2 linked regions of the Kluyveromyces lactis genome follow. The protein of the gene in region 1 purifies or fractionates together with the protein of each later gene. This does not show direct contact. Links are inferred from orthologs where the notes say so. Each region holds a gene or a part of one and is shown on either strand. Other genes may lie near its edges.

Evidence for each region. The genes of interacting proteins can lie anywhere in the genome.
Region 2: the proteins of HRR25 (region 1) and RPM2 purify together in Saccharomyces cerevisiae (affinity purification with mass spectrometry, with the first as the bait; 7 studies listed by BioGRID). This does not show direct contact. The link is inferred for Kluyveromyces lactis from reciprocal best matches to the Saccharomyces cerevisiae genes HRR25 and RPM2.

Annotation. Positions count from the first base shown.
Region 1 is NC_006040.1:264,294-267,778, forward strand, and holds HRR25 (serine/threonine protein kinase HRR25), read left to right. Parts: upstream 1-1,467; coding exon 1,468-2,985; downstream 2,986-3,485. Other genes in the region: NPY1 (NAD(+) diphosphatase), read right to left, coding at 1-677. UniProt on the Saccharomyces cerevisiae protein: Protein kinase which phosphorylates serine and threonine residues. Can use casein as a substrate. Phosphorylates elongator complex member ELP1/IKI3 on 'Ser-1198' and 'Ser-1202' which promotes the tRNA modification function of the complex.
Region 2 is NC_006040.1:885,040-889,155, forward strand, and holds the start of RPM2 (ribonuclease P), read right to left. Parts: upstream 2,801-4,116; coding exon 1-2,800. UniProt on the Saccharomyces cerevisiae protein: Ribonuclease P generates mature tRNA molecules by cleaving their 5'-ends.

The DNA of each region.
Region 1 (3,485 bases):
ATGACCACTGGATCTGTTCTTGGGAAACACACATTTGAAACAGCTGCGTCCCTTACCGAGCATTTAACAGATTCGTCGTTATTTCCACATTGTAATTTGGTTCCACCATGGACAGGAAATACTTTCGATGCACATCCGGGACAAAACAAAAACTTTCTCAGCCAATCTAAGTACATGTTTGCATGAGAGAAGAGCGAAGCAACTTCATTGCTTAGGTTGAATGCTTGCATCCTCCCAAGTGGTTCGTATTGATCTAGTATGAACTTTGTCTCCGACTTTTGAACTAGAGTATCGGACGCTGGCCGCAAATCCATGGCAAACAATGGGGTACCGGTGTACTCCTTGTAAGAAAAACTGCTGTCACCATCCATCAACCCTAAAAACGTTATTGTGAACCCGGATTCAACTAACCATCCTCTCTCGGTATCCATGACAGATCTTATCTTGTTTAGTAAGCCTGGCCATTCCGAGTAGTTAGGACAACCTTGATGTCCTAACATTAATAAATTGGTACCAGACTTGTCACTAGTCTCAGTTGCGAATGCTGCCCCATTGATAAACGGTACAAACTGAGTACTTCCATGTTCGAACGCTTGCTTGATGAAAACCTCGTCGTCCCTTAGGAATGACACTCTATTGATAGTTTCCAATCCGAAAAAGGTTACACTTCTTTCCATATGTACTGCGCTATCAGGCTAACCACACTATACGGGTACTAAATTGATCGAACTCCAAGTACAACAACCTCTCCAGCGATCAAAACGACAATGCGACTAGGTTGTGCACTGAATATACACGTATAAATCCAACTGTTCCCGGTCATTATGTGGATGTGACTGCAAACCATGCTTTGGAAATTACCCTACCATATATCACGTGATCATAAGTTTCTACTATCCCCTTCGTAGAAAAAAGAAACACTATTATTTTTTGTACCAAAAATTGAAATTGAAATCAACTTAACCACAATTAATCACCATGTTTGATATTTCATTGGTGGAGTTAGAGCATTAGACGGAGAATTTAGTGGGCCATTTGGTGTCATAACACAGGTTAACTGATACGGAAACTCAGATATCAAAGTATAGTTTCAAAACGTCCATCTTTCCCCAACTATATACTTAGGAATTTGACCTTTTTTTTGGTCTCTGTTTTGGTTTATTTTTTTTTTTTTTTCATTTCAGAACTTCAGGTTTAGTTGCAGAATTTCCCTCTCAATTTTGTGAAGTTGAGAAGCAATAAAGCAACAAGCAACTGACATATCTCACTGTACGTTTGTTTCCAGTTGAGTTTGATTATAGGATAAAAATATCTTACTTGATATTTCTGGTATTTGAGCTTGTACATGAGAACGTGGATATAAAGACTTATTTTGAGGTTCTGCGGTATATATACTTTCATTTGATTAGAAATATTGAAGGTAAGACGTGAACAGGAGAAGACAGACATAAGGAACGAAAAAGAAAGATGGATTTAAGAGTTGGTAGAAAGTTCAGGATTGGGCGGAAGATTGGCTCTGGTTCCTTTGGGGACATTTATCATGGGACTAATTTGATTAGTGGTGAAGAAGTCGCTATTAAGTTGGAGCCGATTCGTACGAAGCATCCTCAATTAGACTATGAGTCTCGAGTTTATAAGTATTTGAGCGGCGGTATTGGAATACCATTCATCAGATGGTTTGGGAAGGAAGGTGAATACAATGCTATGGTGATCGATCTTTTGGGTCCGTCTTTGGAAGATTTATTTAACTATTGTCATAGGAAATTTTCTTTTAAGACCGTAATCATGCTTGCTCTGCAGATGATCTGTCGAATCCAATACATTCATGGCAGATCTTTCATTCATAGAGATATTAAACCGGACAATTTCTTGATGGGTGTCGGAAGACGTGGATCCACCGTGCATGTTATTGATTTTGGTTTATCCAAGAAGTATAGAGATTTTAGAAGTCATAACCATATCCCATACCGAGAAAATAAGAACCTTACTGGTACTGCACGTTATGCCAGTGTCAATACGCATCTTGGGATCGAACAAAGTAGACGTGACGATTTGGAGAGTTTGGGTTACGTGTTGATATATTTCTGCAAAGGGTCCTTACCATGGCAGGGGCTCAGAGCCACGACAAAAAGACAAAAATACGACCGTATCATGGAAAAGAAATTGTGCATCACCGTCGAACAACTATGTCAAGGTTTACCTATGGAATTTGTTGAATACATGAGATATTGTAGGAACCTCAGATTCGATGAAAGACCAGATTATATGTATTTGGCTCGTTTGTTCAAGGATTTGTTCATCAAGTTGGAATACCATAATGATCATTTGTTTGATTGGACCATGTTGCGTTACACAAAAGCCATGATCGACAAACAAGGAGGCGCCCAAGCATTGGAACAAAAAGATGAAAATGGTAATAAACAGGATTCATTTGATAAAGTGAAACAATTGGCTATGAAGAAATTTTCAACACATTTCCACTATTGGAAACCAGATGATACTTCTCATCCAACTGCTGAAGACATAAAACAACAGACTATCCTAAACACCCAAGTTATCTCCACGATCCCAGATGAAGTCATGAATGCTATCGACAGAAACATGGAACAGTTGAAGCACGAAGTGAACCAACAGGTGGCGTCTCAACCACAACAAGGACAACCACAAGGACAAACTCAGGGACAAGGACAAACTCAGGGACAAGGACAACCACAATCAGGTCAGCAACTAGATACACAGTTACCTCAACCTACCACGTTACTACAACAGCAAAGGGCACAAGTTCAAGGTCAACAAGAACAGATGTTACAACAGCAACAACAACAACAACAACAACAGCAGCAACAACAGCAGCAACAACAGCTTCTGCAACAGCAACTGCAAACACAACAACAAACGCATCCAAATGCAATGGCTATCACCAACCCACTACCAAACCCTAATAACACCACCAAAACTACCACTACCAATAATATCTGGCTTTAAACGCAAAAGACGAAAACAATGCGCAAACAGTTGCAAAATCTGTAGAGTAGAAAAAATCACACACGCTCATACATATATACAACTCATCATCAGTTAATCATGGGCTTCTAACCCACATTGGTTATAAATTATAACTCGGAAATCTGTTACCTAATTCACACTTATATTTCTTTCTTATATGTACTTGAATAGTGGAACATGGGGGAGAACACACACAGGGATTTTCTCACCAACATGAGCAACCATGAAAGTAAGCTGGTTACTGAATCGGCAGCTGACACAGGTTTACGGTACTCGCAGTTCACAGCTCATTGTTGCTGCTGCTGAAGTTTCCCTCCTCATCCTTGGCAAGGCCATTATCGCAATATACGAATTCCACTACTAAATATCGAAAAAGGGTTTCTGTTCCTCACATGAACAGTGAATTGTGAAAAACTAGACCAAAGGAAAACTAACAACAAAAGGAGAGTCAACTGTGGTGAGAAAAAGAGAGCAATCTA
Region 2 (4,116 bases), about 620 kb from region 1:
TCGCTCTAAATAGCGCTGCAAATATAACCGCGGTAGCGCCTTTGTACTCCGCTTGAGAAGTAATACTTTTGAACCTATCGGGGAAACCAACAGCATTAATAAAATTCCGGATGTTTTCACAATTTAACGCAAGCTTTGATAGCGATTTATCTGTTAGGTTCTCAAGAATCTTACTGAATAACTGATGTTGAATTACCTCCTCTTCCAAAAGATTCTTTGGACATTTCACAACAATACAATTAGAGATATACTTGAGGGTTTCCTTGTCTGGACATAAATTGATAGTCTTGGTTATAACATCAGAGGTTATGTATTTCTGGTGAATCAATTCGGAGAAAGTATCATAATCAAATTTGTAGCCATCTTCGGAAAGTCTTTCATATTGCTTGAACCCTGTCCTTTTGGAGTTACGCAATACCGGACCCAAGCTTAATGGGTAAGATTTGTCCCAGTCACCAGGGTGTTGGAAATAAGCCACAGTATCTTCGGAAAGATCGACCATTTTCATAGCTTGAATTGCTACAGGGGAAATCTTGTTGGCATCCAAATGAATTCGTTTGTAGTTAACGCAAAGCTTTTGGAATCTTTCAGCCATTTGTTTTTTGAAATCTAACAACATCTCATTTTGAATATCCAAATAGTAGGTATCTAGATCATATAATCTCGAAACAGCTATTCCATGCAATTCAAGATTGTAAGAATAATCCTGAATCAATTGAGGAGTTTTCCACAACGTTTGGAAACAAACAATGAAACCTGCGTAATTAACTGCAGAAGCGTTTTCAAGAGTGAACGCTTCACAGGCACTCTTAAAGAAAGGCATTTCTGATACCTTCTTCAAGATAGGTTGCGATTGATAGTTTTCGACCAATGCATTCAAAAATTCGAATACTAGAGGCTTGCTATCGGTTGAAAGTGCAGAACCATGAATATTCACAAAACGAAGTAAGTAAGGCTCCGGGCAACCTATGCTTTGGAAGTAGCTAAAAATGTAAGGGTACAATCCTCTTTGGAATGTAGTCTTTTTCACATTCGATTCTTCGACCAATTTCATAATGAGCTCGTCGTCTTTTTGCCTTAGGGCGTATGTCAATATAGTGCTGGGCATCGATTCCAATCCACTTGGATACAATAAATAATTTTTGATTTTATTATCGTTTTTCGTGGTGTTGAATGACGTTTTCATAGGGAAAATATAATTGTATATTCTTTTCACCAATGGCCAATTAGTATTGAGGCAGTTTGCGATCATGACCAAGTAGAATTCATAAGAGAATTCTGGTACCCATTTTAATTTACTGAATTCCATCAACAACTTATATGCCTTTTCCGAATTTATTTTACCGACAGATATCAAAAAGTTCGAAATGACCAAAGAAACGTTCTTGTTATGCCCATCTTTTGCTTGTAGATCCACAAGAAGCTTATCTAAGAGCTTTGTAGCTAAACTTAACGATCCAGTTTCAGCAAAAGCTGATACGACGACAGAGTACACTTCATATTGGTGTTCAACCAATTGCATATTTTTCAGAAGTTCTGATCTAAAATCTTGATAAAGGTCTTTTACTGCCTCATGTTCGTTCAACATCTTGGCGTACGAGATTAAAGAAATGTAATAGATTTCATTCTTTGAATACTTCACGTTTGAATCAATGAAATTCTTGATATAGCCGTACTTTATGTGGCCAGGGTATAAATTGATAGCCAACAAAAGATTATCTAAAAACTCATGGTCGAAGGACTTATTCTTATTCAAATTAGAAGCAAAGAACAGATCAATGGCAATTTTGAAAAAATCTAATCCATTGGTGTTGTGTAACTCAAACGCTCTGATTGATCCAGACAACAATGAACCTACAACAAGGTGATAGATTTCTGCGCTTGGTTTTAATTTATTCTGAATTATATCTTGGTAACAGTTAAGTAATTCAAACATTTGGTTATCGATATTATTTTGATCTAAGTCCCTTCTGCAAATAGAAGTCAAAACTTGTTCAAATAATGACAACGGAGGAACAATTTCATTTCTTATCAACGATTTATAAATTGCGTTAACCTGATTATAATTTTTGTTCTTCATGCAATCTTCTATCAGCTTAGATTGTGTTTCTAAAAATGCTTCTTTATTCAAACATGGTTCCAAATCTGTTTCCCATGCCGGGATTGAGTCATCCAATCTTACATCTTTTAAACGATCTAAGAGAGCTTCCGGCACTGCACCTTTATCCGTTTGTTCTTTCGCTCCAGATTTCTCTAAACTATGATGCTTTTCGACAGGAGGTGAAGTTGGAGGAGTGATCGGAGTTGCTCGTAGATTGTTATTTGCATTATTTTGAGAATTTTGTACCTTGGTAGAATAATAACGGGTAGACAACTTCTCGTTAATTAGAGCAGATTTTTCATTCGATAGATAGGTAAACGAGTTGGATCTCTTCTTCTTATTGTGGTTGGCACCATACGAGCTCTTCTTCGAATAATTTACATCATGTTCGCCAGAATAGAAAATTTCACCATCCTTTTCATAAAATAAATTTAGCTCCTCTGATTCTAATCTCGACAGCTCTGCGTCTCTACTCTGTAAAGCCCTTTCCACGTTATTATAATTAACGTTGGCCACCACTACGGGATGTGGAACAGCAGTCAAAATGTTATGTTGAGGAATAGCAGTATCCAAGTTCACAAGTCCCTGATTCTGTTTCAAATACTGGTACGAGCTATCAAAAAAGGACGTTGCCGATTTATGTGCAGAGGAATGATACCCCTTACAGTAGAACTTACATTTCAATGATTTGAAGTGCATCCTGTCTTTTAACCCACTATTTGAACGATGTAGAGAAGAAACAATAAGTCCGAACTAAATACCTTTCCTGTCAAAAAAGAAGGACAATTATCCCAAGGTACTCTTATTTTACGGTAAAGTTAGATTCGTCTTATGGAAGCCAATATAATATCTATCAACCCTCCAAATTAACAAAGTGAGACAGTAAATAATTCAACGGTCAATAATGATGCAATTAGTCCAGCGTGACAGGGAAGGGAAAAAAGACCAAGTCAATCAGTGAATATAAGAGAGATGATTCCAGCTTGAAGCTTATTCTATACAGAGAAACTAAGCTTTACTGACTCTGTAGCTCCCTTTTAATATCAACTTTTGTGCTTACTTCTTGATTGACCGCTGAGCCAATATTACCGGTAGGGATGAATATTTGATTCTATAGATATATGAAGTTTTCTCTTTTCCTATTTCTCTACTTTCTGTTTTCTACTTTTTTTTTTTGTCAAATTATCAGTTTTCTTTATTTTCTGTCATTCTGATACGGAGGGAAAAGAAGCATTCTGATATGCTGCAGAGATTTAACAGAGGGAATCCCCCATAAAAAGCACGGAAATTTTATGAACGCTTATTATTTAGAGCCGCGAAACTACTTCTTACCCGGGGATAGCTCTTTTGGTTAGTCATTTTTTCTTAGGACATGAGCGTATTACCCTAGAAACAAAAGTAGTCAGATCAACCACCAGGTCTATTTTTGATCCCTGAGCTGTGATTTGCTGTGACGTGGCACAGAATTAAACTTTACCGTGCTTCAGTAATATTCCTATTGGTTCTTTCTTCCGGACACACTCAGGAGTCAGAGGGCTAAGCTCTGCAACTGTTGGAGCTTACTAGCTTTGTTACGATAAATTCCTCAGAAGCCGGAAAGACGAGCTTTATGGTGTGGTGTCCGGGTGTTTTCATAGAAACTACCGTAAAACTGTATTGCTTCAATCATCTTTTTTTTTAGCGTTTTCTGTCGATTGTGTTCTATTGGCCGATTTCTGGACGGTAGCGATGTTTCGCATAGTAAATTCACTCAGACTGGGAAAAGTAATTCGAACGAAAACAGTGCTAAGCGATGTTCGTATTTACAAAAGGATCGTAAGGAATGACTAGCTATGGGAAATAGCGTATTTTGGAATTGGACCGATATTACCATCGGGAGATAGGATTGGATGTGACATTCGGAAGGAGAGGCTTACTGCTAGCATACAAGCTAGGAATATGGCAGGAAGAAGCTCTGAAAAACACAATCAATCGAGCAAGGTAAGTTTAAGTTCAGTAATGAATGGAAAGGCAAT